Neurospora crassa OR74A: one gene and its partners. The main gene of each other region encodes a partner of the protein of the gene in region 3 in a complex. Links are inferred from orthologs where the notes say so. Each region holds a gene or a part of one and is shown on either strand. Other genes may lie near its edges. The genes, in order: NCU00812, NCU02256 and NCU00334.

Region 1 (5,034 bases), on a different chromosome or scaffold from region 3:
ACCCACTGCAAGAATAGGTAGGTCACGTCCAGCTTGCCAAAGTCAAAGAAGCCATTGTTGTTTCGCTGACAATAGACTCGTCATCGTGACCCCATTCGTTGAGTTCCTTTCTCTTCGTTTTCACTCAAAGGGGCCCAAGACAGGACGCACGTGCATTGACTGGTGTTCTGGAGATTAGGTGAGCATGGGGGCGGGAAGGTTCCGTTGCTCTGGCGTCAAGGATAGCAGCGCTAGCCCTGTTTCTCGAAGCCTGGTCGCGGTCGGGTGGTCTGAAACGAGATGAACGGAAACGGGGGCAATGCCAACCAAAGAGCTTTGATCCCTAACACATGTCCGGATTAAGTGCCGCGAAATGTGTTAGCGAGCCCCCTTGGCTAATTCATGGTTCGTTCATCCACAGTTTGATTAAAAGTGTAATGCGAATTGGCGTTGGCGGGTCGTTCCTTGGTAGACTGGGCAACACAGCACTTCCCCATTGCCCCGTTTCTCCGTTCCATTGGACCCCGTGGGCTGGTCGGGCCACCAGCGCAGTAATTCTTCAATGAGTAAGCGCGCACCTCGAGGTTTTCACAGTGAAACGAGAAACAAACCGCGCCTGATGAAACTGTTTAGTTGACAAAGACATTGTGGTCACTGGATGACGACTTGCTCATGGTGGATCTCTGTTCAGTCATATCGATAGACTAGGCCAATTCGTGCTAGCCTGGGCCGGCTGTCTAGGGCTGCATCATGCGCCGACCGACGGCGCCTCCTAGTGTAGAGACTTGATGTTGAACAAGTCTCCCCAAAAACACCAAACGGAATCCTCTTGAACCTTGATCGATTCGCACCCCAGATAGGGAGCTCCAGGAGCATTGGCGAGCGTTCCAGACTTCTAGAACCGGATCACTCTTGGGTCCGAGATGATAGAAGATGACGACGCGCTCAACCGAGGCTTCCAAGAATACAAACCAATTGACATTTCGAACACCCAGCGCATCGCGGTACCCATGAGATGATCTTGGTGGCCGTTGTCCCGTATTCACTTAGCGAAGGGGGGAATGGAGGAATGCCGGTTTCCTCCTTGCTGTTGACAAGGGGTCACTGCCACTGCCACAGTGTGCCCCTGAGTAGAGGTAGCCTACCTACCTCTAGGTAGGCTACCTAGTAGTGATCACTCCTGAGTCCAGACTTCAGGCCCTCTCCTGCTCACAATGCACGATCAAGATCCCATCAACATTGCGCATTCGATTGATATCTTGCCATCAACTCACTGTACCGCTATGAGCTGGAGAGGTCAAATGGGGGCTGTCAAGATCACGTGGAGAGTAGATGGACGGGAACCTTCAATTCCATGTTCCGGGGCCATCACGTCCCGTCCTCTGTCTGCAGCTGCAAACAACTTGCCTACAAGTAGTGTAGAGGTATGCACAGACCACTTGCATGCATTTTCAGCTCCTGATGGAAGCGAAGCAGAACTTAAGCAGAAGCCCTGCGGATGGAACTCCCGTCCTGCCGAGTGAGGTGAGCGGTGGAGCCCGGCACGGCGACCCCGCGAACGTGAGACGCAGCGGATCTTGCCCCGCCCCGCCCAGCTAAACTTTTCCTGTCTTGCCATTGGAAACTTTCGGCCTGGCCCAACCACGTCCGTTTATTCCTAGCAAAAGGCGATTTCAAAGTCAACAACCGTCCACCAGAACCTGCTGTCGATTATTCAGACTGGTCGACCGGAAGCTCCGAATTCCCACTTTGCGCGATAACTTAGTCACTGAAACTGGGGCCCCGACACTTCCGCATTACGCAAGCCTTTCTCTCCTCCGACTCAACGTACCGAGAGCTTGCGCGTCGCTCGCGGCACGATATCGCATCGAATAATCTGTCCCATCGAGCCGAAACTGTACGCACTAACCACGATCTCCCAGATCGAGCTTGGCCGACCCGACTCGAAGAACGACTAGGGTACAACTACAAGCACAACCTGAGCTTGGTGGACACTAAGCAGGGGAAGCAAGAGCAAAAAATCTCGACTCAGGTCCGGCTCCCCAGACAGGCCCTCAGGGCGTTTGTTGTTGTTGATCCTTACTGGATACCGTACCCCAATCTCGACCTTTGGTGTACTCGCTACCTGCCCGGTAGAGAGATTAGCCCGAACCACGATACCCAGAGGAGTAGAGTGAAACGCTAGAACAACAGAACATAGAAAGAAACACCTGTCCACCCAGCTACACCGCTATGCCTCTCGATACTTCAGCATATAGCCTCGCGCTGTTGCGCGTCGACGGCCGCAGGTGGAACGAGCTGCGTCGCATCCATGCCCAGATCCGCACCCAGGCCGCCGCCGATGGCTCCAGTTACCTCGAGATGGGCCACACCAAGGTCATGTGTGTCGTTAACGGACCCAGCGAGCCCGGTCCTCGGAGGGGAGCCACGTCGGGCGGTGGTGGTGGCGGTGGTCAGTCCAAGAACGCCGAGGTTGCTGTAAACATTGTCATTGCCGGGTTTAGCTCGGTTGACCGTAAGCGAAGGGGGAGAGGTGATAAGTAAGTCAAAACACCCAGGGGTTGTTTCCCCCCCAGTGTCAACTACGGCTATTCGTCTGTCACTGTTCGCATAACTAACCCGTCATCCTTCCTTCTTCCATCATCACAGGCACATCCTCGAACTCCAATCGACGATATCTCAAGCCCTCGCTGCCAGCTTACACACCCACCTCTTCCCGCACTCCACCATCAACATCTCCCTGCACGTGCTCTCGCAAGACGGCTCTTTGCTGGCCGCCCTCATCAATGCCGCCACGCTCGCCTGCGTCGACGCCGGCATTCCCATGACAGACTACGTCGCGGCCTGCACGGCCGGCTCGACGTCTACATACGCGGCTAACGACGAGGGCGCCGACCCGCTGCTGGACATGAACCACCAGGAGGAGCAGGAGCTGCCCGGCCTGACGGTGGCCACATTGGGCGACAGCGACCGCGTGGCGGTGCTGGTCTGCGAGAGCAGAGTGCAGGTGAGTCGCCTGGAGGGCATGTTGGCCGTGGGCGTGGACGGGTGTAAGCAGGTGAGGGAGATCTTGGACAGGGTAGTGAGAGAGAAGGGGATAAAGATGATACAGGAGGGCACGGTCGAGAGAGGGGTTGGGTTGAATGACATGGAACTGGATTGAATGGACACTACTGAATCAATGGTTGGGCTCCGGGTCACAGAATCGGATATGGTACGGTAGGTAGCATTACAAAGGCTTGGAGCAAAAAAGAATAGGCAACATGACGAATTTGACGAATTTCACGACTATCAATGTAATCAAAAGTACAGCTCTTGGTCAGGTGAGCAACATGTCGTTTCTGTTAAACGTGCGCCAACTTTTGAAAGCGTTCTCCGAAACTGAAAGGTACCAAAAAACCTTCAACTTTTGACCAGCCATTCACTGACACAAGTCACAGCAAACTACGCTTTCACCAATCTCTCACAGCTCATCGTGACCACTGGCCGTCTTCGACTGGGCCTCAGGCGTCTCCCCCTCCTTTGAAGCAGCCTTCTCAGCCTTACCAGACTCTTTCTTTTCCTTCTTCTTCTCCTCCTCCTCCGTCGAAGAAGCCTCAACAACAATACCCTCCGGCAGCTTTTTCTTGGTGCCCTCGCTCAACCTAATCGCATCAATCCACGCCTCCACCTTGTCATGATCCGAGAAATCATCTCCCTCACCAACAGCGTCGTAGCGTCTCCACCATCCGCGACGGGCGTTGATGACGATGAGTTCAATGTCAGCATCCTCCTTGAGGCCAAGGGATTTGAGAAGGGACGCGCCGGCGGGGTTGGTGTCGAGGGGCACCTCGTAAAAGGGGAAGAGCTTGTGTTGGCCGAGGGCATATTTGAATTTTATTTCGGCGAGGTGGGTGAGGGCCTTTTGGGCTTTTTCGTTGGAAGAGGATACCAGCGCGAGAAGGCAGGTGCTGGATTTGGACGTGAGGCATTCCTTGACGAGCTTTTCGGGGGTGTTGAGGGAGGGGATGGGGAGGGCGGTGTGGATTATTACGGGAATCTCTTGGGTTGGGGCAGGGGTTTCGGAGGACGTTTCAGAGGAGGTTTCGGAGGAGGCGACCTTCTTGGAGTCTTGCTTTCCGTTTTTTTCACCACCGTTGGCCTTGCCGTTGGCCTTACCATTAGCCTTGCCATTAGCCTTGCCATTAGTCTTGCCATTAGTCTTGCCATTAGTCTTGCCGTTGGCCGGTGCTGGGTCCGGATTAGGCTGGGCCGCCTGGGAAAGGAACTCCACCATGGCGGCCTTGTTGATCTCGCCGTCGTACACAATACCAGGGGCATCACCGCCAGGCAACAAGATCAGAGTAGGGAGTTTGTCGACACCGAATGTGGATACCGCCTTGGACTGAGTGTTTCGCACCTGACCGACGGGCATGACACCGAGGAATTCAATGGCGACGCTCTTCAGCAAGGGGGAGGTGGTACCCTTGTCGGTGAAGAGGAGCGCTTTGGCTGTCTCGTTCTTGTCACTCAGGAACTTGTCGAGGTTCTTGTCCTCGACTTTCACGACGTGATTGTTGATGCGCGAGACCACAGCATCGACAATTGCGCTGGCGGTGCGCTGGCCTTGGTAGTCCTCCACTATGGGCTTGCCGTTCTTAGAAGGACGGATGATCTTCAAGGTCGGGAAGCCCTGCACGCCCATGCTGCCGCAAAAGGGCTTGTTGGCGTCCTCATCGCAGTTGACGGCGGCGACCTTGGCCAGGCCTTCGAGGTTCTTGGCAGCCTTTTCGTAGGCGGGCTTGAGGTTTTGGCAGTGGCCGCACCAGGGGGCGTAGAACTCAAGAATCTGCAAGGGAGAGAGGTCAGACACATACATGCATTATTACGATGGCTGATCTAAGATATAGTCGGTCTGGTACTTACAGACGTCTGGTTGCTCTTGGCAATCAATCTATCGTAATCCTTTCCGTCAACCTGCAAAACTGGGGACTTTTTGGTATAAAGGCCCGCCTGGGCTCCGGGGAGCGCAGACAGGATACCAACTGCCAGAGCACAGAGGGTGGAATGATGCAT
Region 2 (5,051 bases), on a different chromosome or scaffold from region 3:
GACTCTGTATAATTTGATGCAAGGTTTCTGTGGCTCAGCGTTTTGTAGAACAGGATGAAAACTCGACGTCTCTTGGCCGTCATCAGTTATTGCTTGGTATCTATGTCTCTACCATAAGCCATCTCTTTCTCTTCTCCTGTCGCATATACTAAAACGCACCGCGATAATAATAGTCCAAGTAAAAAAAATAAGTGGCATCAATGGCCAACACAGCACTGATCGTTCCATAATCTATCCTATTTGCCCTCCATCTTCCTCATCCGCCGGCTCCTCACTTCTTAAAGGTAGCCGTCCTGCCAGCCGCCTTGGCCGTGTAATGCGCTCTTGCGCCCTTGGGTCCTCCCTGAGACTTGTTTTCATACGGGTTAAACCTCTTATTCGCCTTCTTGACGTCCTCCTGAGTCTTGCGAGCACGCAACACCGACGCAGCCTGAGAGTAATCAAACGGCTGATCTTCCTTCTCCTCGCCCTCCGCCTGCTTAGCGGCAGCAGCAGCTTCTTCCTGCGCCTTCTTCTTTGCTTCCTTCTTGGCGGCCTTCTCTGCCCTTCGCTGGGCCTTGAGAGCTTCCTTGGCCTGCTTCTTCTTCTCCTTGGCCGCTTTCCTGGCTGCCTTTTTGGATTTCTTGGATGACTTGTCGCTTGCCTCTTCCTCCTCCTCCTCTTCTTCCTCGTCGGAGTCGTCACCTTCGGCTTCACCACCGGTTTGCACGTCGGTTTCGGTCTGAGGCGCGGAATCCTCCATTTCGGCATCTGAGGCCTCCTCTTCTTCCTCAGACTCTTCCTCGCGCTTGCGCTTGCCTCCGTTCCTAAGAGTGAATTCCTGGTTGACTATCACCTCTTCCGGCGCCGGCTGGGGCTCTGGCACCGCCTCTTCTGGTTGATCCACCTCCATCTCAGCCGTAGATCCGTCCATGAAGTCGGCCGGATACGGAAGGGTGATTTCCAACACGTCGTCAAGCTTGGCAGTCTTCGCAGCCGTGCCGTCCCAGACTGAGCTCAGAGTGACGCCGCCCCAAAATTGTGACCGGTCAGCTTTGAGCTCCTTGACGTCCGGAATGTCGCTATCGTCGGCGATGACCGCAGCAATCTTGGCGGGGGCGAGGATAGATGACTCGCTCTTGAAGATATCCATCATCTTGGGACCGTTCACACCTTCCTCCCTAGCCTTTTGAATGACGTCGAATAGATCATCCAAATGAGACTTGAGGCCCTTGGCGTTGCTATCCAGAATACTCCACAGAGCCTTCTTGTCGGTCGGGAGTATCCGGGCAATGTCGGCCAGAACCTGCTGTGTCATAAAGAAGAAGGGACTCTCGTCCTCACGACGAGCCAAGTTGTCACGCCATTGATGTACGGCCTTGTAGACGGCAAACTGCTCGCCGTTGTAGAGCGTTGGGGACTTCAACAGCACATTATACCACCCGCGGGGTCCCTGGCCGGTTTCGACGTTGTAGCTAAGGTTCTCGTATCGTTGCAGGGCGACATCCTTGGACCTCTCGAGGACCTGCTCGAGAAGGTCAGGCTTCGGCTTTCCGGGTGTTGAGCGCTCCACGAGCTCGTTGATGATCATGTCGAAGATGTAGAGCAGGTAGTGGGTATCCGACCGCGCATAGTAAAACATCTCCTCGGGGAGAGGTCTGATGCGCCAGTCCGCAAGCTGATACTTTTTGTCGGCTTCGAACTCGGCAAACTTGCTAAGCAAATAACCCAAGCTCCTTCCAGGGTACCCGAGAACGGCGCAAGCATGATATGTGTCGAAGAGACCTACAACGTAGAGACCAAGATCTCTCTGCAGCCAGATGACATCCATGAAAGCACCGTGAAGAACCTGGGTCAAGTTAGTCGATAATACAGTGAAAGCAGAAGGCCAGGATGTGTCTCACCTTGACAATGTTGGGGTTCGCAAAAACCTCATTCAGAACCTCAAGCTTGTGCCTCCAAGGTTGAAGAGTATCAATGACCCAATCCTTCTCTCTGGTACTGATCTGCATGAGAGACAACAGTCCGGTGTAAGACCTAAAATCGTGGTGCTCCAGATCAAGCGCAATTTCCTTGGCCTGCTTGAGCTCCTCCAACATCTCCAAGACGCCCTCATAAGTATCAACCCAGATGGCGGATGTCGAATCGATAGGAAGGTACTCCTTGGGTTCGCGCTTCTTGTACACATGCTCAGGGTACGGTGTCGTCTTGATCTCGGTTTCGTAGGGGTGTTTGTATCTGGGAGATTCATGTTAGCGACATGCTCTTATGATATTGGAAAGAAAGGTTAGACGTACTGTGTGTTGTTGTCATCATCGACAAAGGTGGTCAGGCTGTCTTCCAGTGACACCTTGGCATGAGGCTTGGACGACAACAGAGGCTTCCAAGGACCGGTAGCGAAGTTATCGACCTTCTTCTCGAAGTTATTCTGTGGTTTGAGAATGTTGGCTCTCTTCAAGGACCAGTCAAGACGATCGTTAGACGACTTGACGCGTTTTTGGGCGCGGCCCTGGTCGGCGGGGGTAGGCGCATCCTTCCGCTTGATCAATCCGGTGTACTCGTCGAGGCAGGTGTCGGCTTTCTCGAGCAACGAGTCGATCACGTCGACAATGTTCCGCCATTGGATGTCCACGTCGTCGGCATCTTCAAGAGCGCCAACCTTCTGGCCGGTAAGATTCGCGGTCGACTTGAGGAGCCCGTTGGCCAGGGACAGAAGGCGGCCGGAGCTGTTGTCGAGTTGACCACCGACAGTCGGGTTGACGGTGCGCTGGAACTGAAGATCCTCGCTGGCGATTGAGTTGGCGGTTCGGGTCGTAGCGACCAGGGCGGCTTGGAGCGATTCCCTCAAGCTCTTGAAGTCCAGTGAGCCGTCCATATTGGCCGGTGGTTCTGGAGTCGTTGTGGTGTGGACGTCACTGGAAGTGGAAGCCCGGTTCAATTTTCCAAAAATGGTTTGTCGTTCTGCTGCTCTTTGGGAACTTTTTTTGCGGACAGTCCCAGCATGTGGCTTGTGGAGAAAGCGCCAAAGTGAACGGGACCTCGAAAAGTGGAAGCTGCCCGATGGATGCCATCAAGTGGGCCTCGAGTGAGCTGTTCCCGCTCTGCGCTGGTAGAGGTACCTGATGGCCCATGCTGGGAAGTAGAAGCACTAAAGTAGAGAGACTTTGGGCAGCCGATTACATAAGGCCAAGGGGGCGCTTGCCAAGAGCCAAGATTGTGCTGATCTGGACCACCAACGTTCGTTCATCCATCGGCGTCCAGGCTTTTGAGATCCGTCCTGTGACGAAGTGGAAGTCCGCAACCCCATTGTTGAATAGCACCTGGTACTTGTTGGTTTCCAAGCGGACTCACCGGTGAACGTTGATATTTGAGATTCCGTACAACCGTCTTTTCCACCAAAAATATTCACCTGGAGTATCTCACGAACACCCTTCTATACGATCTTTTGCCCAAAACATAGATATACCGTCGATACCCATAAGTCATCGGACACCGTACCAAGCCTATCGTTTTGTTGGCAACACCTACGGTTGAAAACATAGCTCTGGACTTTAAAGATGTCCCAGTCACTCGCCAAGGAATGCAACGAGGCCAAGGAGTAAGTTTTTGTCCTTCATACGGAAAGAAAACAACATCTTAACCAGTTGTAGACGTTACGACACTTGCTTTCTCAAATGGTACAGTGAGAGTAAGTCTACAGGAACAGACACCCCAACTCAGTGGACATGTGTGATACTTATACTGGACAGAATACCTTAGGGGCAATGGTACCGAACAAAATAACGAATGTTCAATTCTCTTCAAGGAGTATAGCTCTTGCCTGCAGGTAGGACGCAAAACCATACAGCGCCCGTACTCTAGCATCGAGATAGCTTACCATATGGCATTTTACAGGTTGCTTTGAAAGAGCGTGGCATCGACAAGCTGCTTGAAGAGGCGCGGGAAGAACTCAAGGACAGCGACTCAACATACATGGGCAAGAAAAAATGTGAGTTTGAGCTTACGAACATGGCCAAAGTTGAAAGGATGACTGACTTGCTCAGAATACCAGAGCTGGACGACGTCTGAGTACCTTACTGTACCACTCGTCGACCAACTCCTTGAACAAAGCCGCAACAATCCAGTTATTCTCCTTACATTGCTCAATTATCTCTTCTCCGTATATATCATATATCGCCTGGTATTCGTGGAAGGACTTTCCATTATGCACACCCTCCATGTCTTGAACAAAGCCCATGTACCAAAAGTGTCACCCGCTGGTCTTTGACTGTACCTTTCTGATTATATCTTCTGTTGAGTTGTTTTCAGTGCTCTCTGTTATGGACGGAAGCCATGGATGACTTCAAGTCGGTTGAATGTTCCCCTTCCAAATAAGGTTTCCCGTCCTTGAGAAGTGGATCCTCCCCAACATCCAATCGGTTCATTACAGAGTGCCGTGCAGTCGCAGCCAGGTCGGGTTGCGCTCGGGGACTCTGGCTTCTGGGCGCTAGAACTTAGAACGCTCCACACTCCCTGTAATACTGCCTAAACTGCTTCGATAAACTTCAGCGCGAGTCTGAGCCGAGTCTGTCCACCACGACACGACACATAACGCATCTGATCGCCCTGCTCCCCCGTCCCCGTCCCAAATCAACAAGTTTTCGGCTTCCCGTTGTGCTTCCCGTCAGTACCAGCTTTGCCCGACTTCGACCTACCTAATCCAACCTCTTCGAACCGTCGAGTATTGTTTTCCCCCTCCCATTACAGCGCCCGCCAATTCCTCATATAACCGCACCCACTATCCGCCCGCATTTCCTCTCCCCACACAAGGGAAAGTGACATCGGACTACAGCATCTACCGGCCCAGACTTTTGCCGCGATCGCATGCTCGAACAGTAAGGGGCAGCGCGCCTCTATGCACCCCTTTTCTGTTCTTACACTCGGCATCTTCGTAGCTGGGTATATCACCGCCCGATGGGACCTCGTCACTCGCCTATATGAGCTTGCCATATTCGCTTGGAACTACGGAGTGGTGGTAAGTGTCACATGCCATGGGAAAGAGGGAAAAACTGTGGCACTCCGCCCCCGGCCAA
Region 3 (4,291 bases):
GGCCAAAATGTCTCCACCATCACCCTTCCCGACATGTACCTGAAGCTCTGGGACGTCGGCGGCCAGCTCTCCCTTCGCGCCCTGTGGCACTCGTACTACTCGTCCTGCCACGCCATCATCTTCATCATCGACAGCACCGACATCGGCGACGGCCAAATCGAGCGCGATCAGAACAACGGGCGGCTGGACGAGTGTCGGGCGGTGTTGGAGGATGTGTTGCAGCACTCGGAGACAGAAGGCGTACCGCTGTTGATATTGGCGAACAAGCAGGACCGGGAAGACTGCGTAGAGGTGGTGCGGATCAAGGAAGGCTTGGTAAAGAAGGTCTTCGAGGGCGAGAAGAGCGCAAGTATCAGAGACTCGAGGGTGTTGCCGGTGTCGGCACTAACGGGGACGGGCGTGAGGGAGGCGGTGGAGTGGGTTAGGTCAAGGGTAAAGTGGAACAAGGAGTCGAGGCCGCCGGTTATGCGGTGAGAAGCGGGAGCGGTTGATGATGAAAGACCAATTCATGACATAACCCACGTTCGCGACCAATATCGACGAACATCGACAGCGCCGGGGCAGAGGATTCTATGTGGGAGCCAAATCCTCCCTTTGGGTTCGGCAGGCAATGCTTGGATCTTGCCTGCCGTCGAGGATCAATATCGCTTCCTGGAAGACTTAAGAACTAGGCCAGGAGCGGTACGTGATCACGCAGGTTTCTTCCAAAAAGACCTACAACACCCTGCCATCACGCGAGATTACCCTGCCATCAGATCAAATCACTTCAGATTCGGGCAAGATTGGATCGTGGGGGGAGTGGCGTAGAAGCAAATTTAGGGCTCAGGCTTGGTCTAAACTAAAGTTTGGAGCTCATTGCGTCCAGAGATAGAGGCTAGGACCCTGTGGTTACCTGGCGCCAATGCTTTCACCTCATTCATCTGGCAGCTTTAGCGGCAGATGAGGACTTGGGGACTGAGCTGATGGCGAGATACACTGTGTAACGTTAGATGGCAATTTCGGTCGCCGCTAACGGGATAACTCCCTTTAGACATGAGGGAGGATACGGCACTCGCGGCGCCCCCCATCATAATAATAGAGCCCATTCCGCGGAGTGACTTGCCTCTTGGACAATTCTTGCCGTTCTCTTTTGACTGAGAAAAGTAAAGAGACCAGCTGTAGAGCTGTCCCATATCCTCGTCAGGTTTCGCCTTCAACCACACAGCCTTGTTGTTCTGCTTGGCTCTATGGCCGTACCTGGGTATCTCACTTCTTCCTCTTACGTCCTCAACCGCTTCACCCAACAATGCGATCATTCTCCGCCCTCAACTCAGCCATAAACCCACCCTTATCCCTCCTCTTTGCGTCCTCCGCCAACTTGTCATCCAAGTAAGTGGAGAACTCCTTCACCTTCGTCAGCGCCACGCTGGTACACTGCAGTAGCGCAACTGCCTCGACCGGTACACCCCCGAGCTTCGCGATCTGGCAGATCTCTCCGTGCCTGTTCAAACTAATCGTGACACTGGCGACCCTGACTTGCTCCTCCATCCAATCCGCATCCAACAACGCTGTCTCACCCTCCTCGCCAAAGAAACTCCACGTCACGCAGAAAGGCGAGTGCAGCCAGCCCAGCGGCACCGGCTCCCGCTCCGCAGGCGTGTACACCGTCAGCACGCCATTCTCCATGCTGGTGTCGGGCTTTCGGAAGTGGCGAAGGGCGGCGACGACGGCGAAGCAGGCCGCATCGGTCAGGTTGCCGTCGTGCGAAAGCACGTGCACGTCGACCCGGACGGACCAGCACTTTTGCCCCGCGACCAGACAGAGCGACTCGGTGTCGAGGGCGCCGGAGCGCCGGACCGTCTTTTCGAGCAGGCGCGAGAGCAGCACTTCGGTTTCGGTGGGCCGGTTCACTTCGAAGTGAGGCGCGGCCATGGGGGAGAGTTCGGTGGCGATGGTGAAGATGCCGTCGAGCGGGCGGTCGGCGAAGGGGACTGTTACTTCGGCGGAGGCTTTGGCAAGAATTCTAAAGATGGGAGTCCCGGTTAGTATCTTGGTGCCTCAGGGGTAGGATATGCGTGGTGGTGGTGAGAGTACACAAACGTACTTTGTCTTGCCAAGCGATACATTGGCGACGCCATATTCGTCTCCAAACGTGAGCTCTAGTGGACGGTATTGGTCGAATTCACGGCCATCGAGGCGAATCTGTTCGTCTTGAAGCGCCTTCAAGAGAAAGGCCTTCTCGTTGGCTGACGGTTCTGCTTCTCTGGGCATGTTGACTGAGGTTTGTTTACTTTTTCCCTTTGAAAATACGTGGTTGCGGATCTAAAGAATCGGGCAACATCACTGGTTAGGTAGGTGCTGCAGTTGCAGTCGCTATGGTCACCGTTTCTGCCACTAAAGTCCGCCAGAATTTGGCGGGTTTTGCCGCTGGCGGTCAAGAAGTGCGCCTGCGAGACTGAACCCCAGGGCGTCATTGGATCCATTTGTACCACTACTGCCAGCCAGTTCCTTCTTCAGACTTCAGAGCCATTGCTTCAAATCAGGAACAACTTTACTTCCCTCTGCAGCAATTTCCACTTCCAACACCCCTCAACAAATCACGGCCCATCTCGCCCTCTATTGCGCGCGCTTCATCTCTCACGCACCGGCATCATCTATCAACTCAAGAAAAGAACTGCGTAACCGAACCAAGCCGCCAGAATGACCACAGCTCACAGACCTACCTTCGACCCGGTACGCATCCCACCACCCTCATCCTTCTCATCCCCAACCAATCCCGCCATCCTCTCGTGCACCCACTAACATCCATTCTTCTCAAAACCAGGCCAAAGGCAAAGAAGCCCTCCGCGGTCCCGCCTACCACCAGCGTCTCCTACCCGCCTACACCCAGCTCAAGTTCCGCAAGCCCGGCCAAGGCGGCGTTGCGGGGGCATCTGAAGAGCGCGACACGCGCGACCTGCGCGCTGAGCTGCTGGCTGCCGAGGAGGCGCACAAGGCCAAGTTGAGGGGCGGACCTGCTCTTACCTCTGGTGATGACGATGTCGATAACGAGAAGGCGGGAACCAAGCGCCCATTGGCTTTGACGGGCGGTGATCACAACAAAGAGGAGGAAGACCAAGAAGCGAAGCGACGAAGGATATTAGAGTTGACGAGGGAGATTGATGCGGATGATTCTTCTGATGATGTTGATGACGACGACGCGGATGCCGATGACGCCGATGCCAAATCACCAAAAGCCCAGAAGAACCAAGATGACGACGACGCCTCTTCAGACTCCTCCGATTCTGATTCCGACTCCGACTCCGACTCAGACGACGAAGAAGCCGAACTCCAGCGGGAACTCGAGCGCGTGCGTCGCGAGCGTCAAGAGAAGCGCGAGCGCGAGGAGCTTGAGCGCCAAAAGGCCGAAGAAGAACAGCGCGAGAAGGACATAGCGCTCGGGAACCCGCTGCTGAACAAGCCGGACTTTACGGTCAAGAGGAGGTGGGACGACGACGTGGTCTTCAAGAACCAGGCGAGGGGTGTGGACGATAGGAATAAGAAGAAGGAGTTTGTCAATGATTTGTTGAGGAGCGACTTCCATAGGCGGTTTATGAGCAAGTACGTTCGTTGAGGGAGGAGAAAGAGGAGTTTGAGGTTGGGGGCTTGTTGCTGCCGTTGCTGCCGCTGGGGAAAGATTGCGCAGTGGCGGAGAGAGGAGAGGAGCGAAGATACCCAGAGCGGAAGGATACAGGGCCAAGAAGGGGAGATATATTCCTCTTTGCGACACATCTTGGTTTGAACAAGTTTCTGCATGCATGCTCAGTGAGCGAGAAATAGACGATTTCACAGGACACGATTCAAGCACAACTAACAACATTTTCAATGATCATTGCATATCTATTCACACCGAACCCAACCATGATTTTTTTATATCTAACGCCAGTTACAAATGCAAATGCTACACATAGTCCCATCCATCCTCAGGATATATCCTTTACCTTCAACATGGCCAAAGACATCGATCATATACCACATGTAAACGTTTTCCCGTGACCAGTAGTCACAGTATGTACTCTTTCAATAACCAACTCCAACCCTCGTAACCCTTTACTGCAACATATTATCCAAGCTCTCACCAAGCGTCTCCTCAATGCCCACAATCCATCTCCTGTTCTCCCTCTCCACAACCTCGTCATCATCATCCTGCAGCTCGCTAATGAATGGCAACATCTCCGGCAAGCTCTGGAGCCACTCCTCACCCAGTCTAGCAGTGAGCTCCTGCTCGCACTTGATGACCGCCAACCTGACGGCCGCCTGCTCCGACCGCAGG

Evidence for each region.
Region 1: the proteins of NCU00334 (region 3) and NCU00812 are in contact, whole or in part, in a crystal structure (PDB 5OKZ), measured with the Saccharomyces cerevisiae proteins. The link is inferred for Neurospora crassa OR74A from reciprocal best matches to the Saccharomyces cerevisiae genes RRP45 and SKI6. Residues at the interface, in NP_010566.1 of Saccharomyces cerevisiae: Thr97, Glu99, Asp100, Val102, Leu103, Ser105, Arg106, Glu109, Lys110, Arg114, Ser115, His191, Thr206, Glu207, Asn209, Ile210, Lys211, Asn215, Glu217, Asp232, Leu239, Arg243, Glu244, Val245, Val246, Gln247, Val248, Ser249, Lys250, Ala251; in NP_011711.3 of Saccharomyces cerevisiae: Arg95, Arg96, Leu98, Glu99, Thr102, Ser103, Val105, Arg106, Met107, Lys110, Phe155, Asp156, Val190, Glu194, Lys195, Leu196, Ser197, Leu198, Leu199, Leu200, Val201, Glu202, Asp203, Lys204, Ile205, Pro206, Leu207, Asp208, Leu210, Glu211.
Region 2: NCU00334 (region 3) and NCU02256 share a complex: the UniProt entries of both Saccharomyces cerevisiae proteins name them as parts of the RNA exosome complex. The link is inferred for Neurospora crassa OR74A from reciprocal best matches to the Saccharomyces cerevisiae genes RRP45 and RRP6.

The regions. Positions count from the first base shown.
Region 1 is NC_026501.1:7,076,494-7,081,527, reverse strand, and holds NCU00812 (exosome complex exonuclease RRP41), read left to right. Parts: upstream 1-1,604; 5' UTR 1,605-2,211; coding exon 2,212-2,519; intron 2,520-2,628; coding exon 2,629-3,142; 3' UTR 3,143-3,442; downstream 3,443-5,034. Other genes in the region: NCU00813 (disulfide isomerase), read right to left, coding at 3,443-4,807, 4,885-5,034. UniProt on the Saccharomyces cerevisiae protein: Non-catalytic component of the RNA exosome complex which has 3'->5' exoribonuclease activity and participates in a multitude of cellular RNA processing and degradation events.
Region 2 is NC_026507.1:3,162,725-3,167,775, forward strand, and holds NCU02256 (exosome complex exonuclease Rrp6), read right to left. Parts: upstream 2,988-5,051; 5' UTR 2,855-2,987; coding exon 2,277-2,854; intron 2,218-2,276; coding exon 1,884-2,217; intron 1,829-1,883; coding exon 272-1,828; 3' UTR 24-271; downstream 1-23. Other genes in the region: NCU17251 (hypothetical protein), read left to right, coding at 3,537-3,577, 3,630-3,667, 3,729-3,805, 3,874-3,967, 4,023-4,024. UniProt on the Saccharomyces cerevisiae protein: Nuclear-specific catalytic component of the RNA exosome complex which has 3'->5' exoribonuclease activity and participates in a multitude of cellular RNA processing and degradation events.
Region 3 is NC_026503.1:3,486,754-3,491,044, forward strand, and holds NCU00334 (3' exoribonuclease), read right to left. Parts: upstream 2,320-4,291; 5' UTR 2,251-2,319; coding exon 2,084-2,250; intron 2,003-2,083; coding exon 1,276-2,002; 3' UTR 793-1,275; downstream 1-792. Other genes in the region: NCU00333 (ADP-ribosylation factor family protein), read left to right, coding at 1-474; NCU00335 (pre-mRNA-splicing factor cwc15), read left to right, coding at 2,680-2,712, 2,804-3,592; NCU00336 (U3 small nucleolar RNA-associated protein 10), read right to left, coding at 4,069-4,291. UniProt on the Saccharomyces cerevisiae protein: Non-catalytic component of the RNA exosome complex which has 3'->5' exoribonuclease activity and participates in a multitude of cellular RNA processing and degradation events.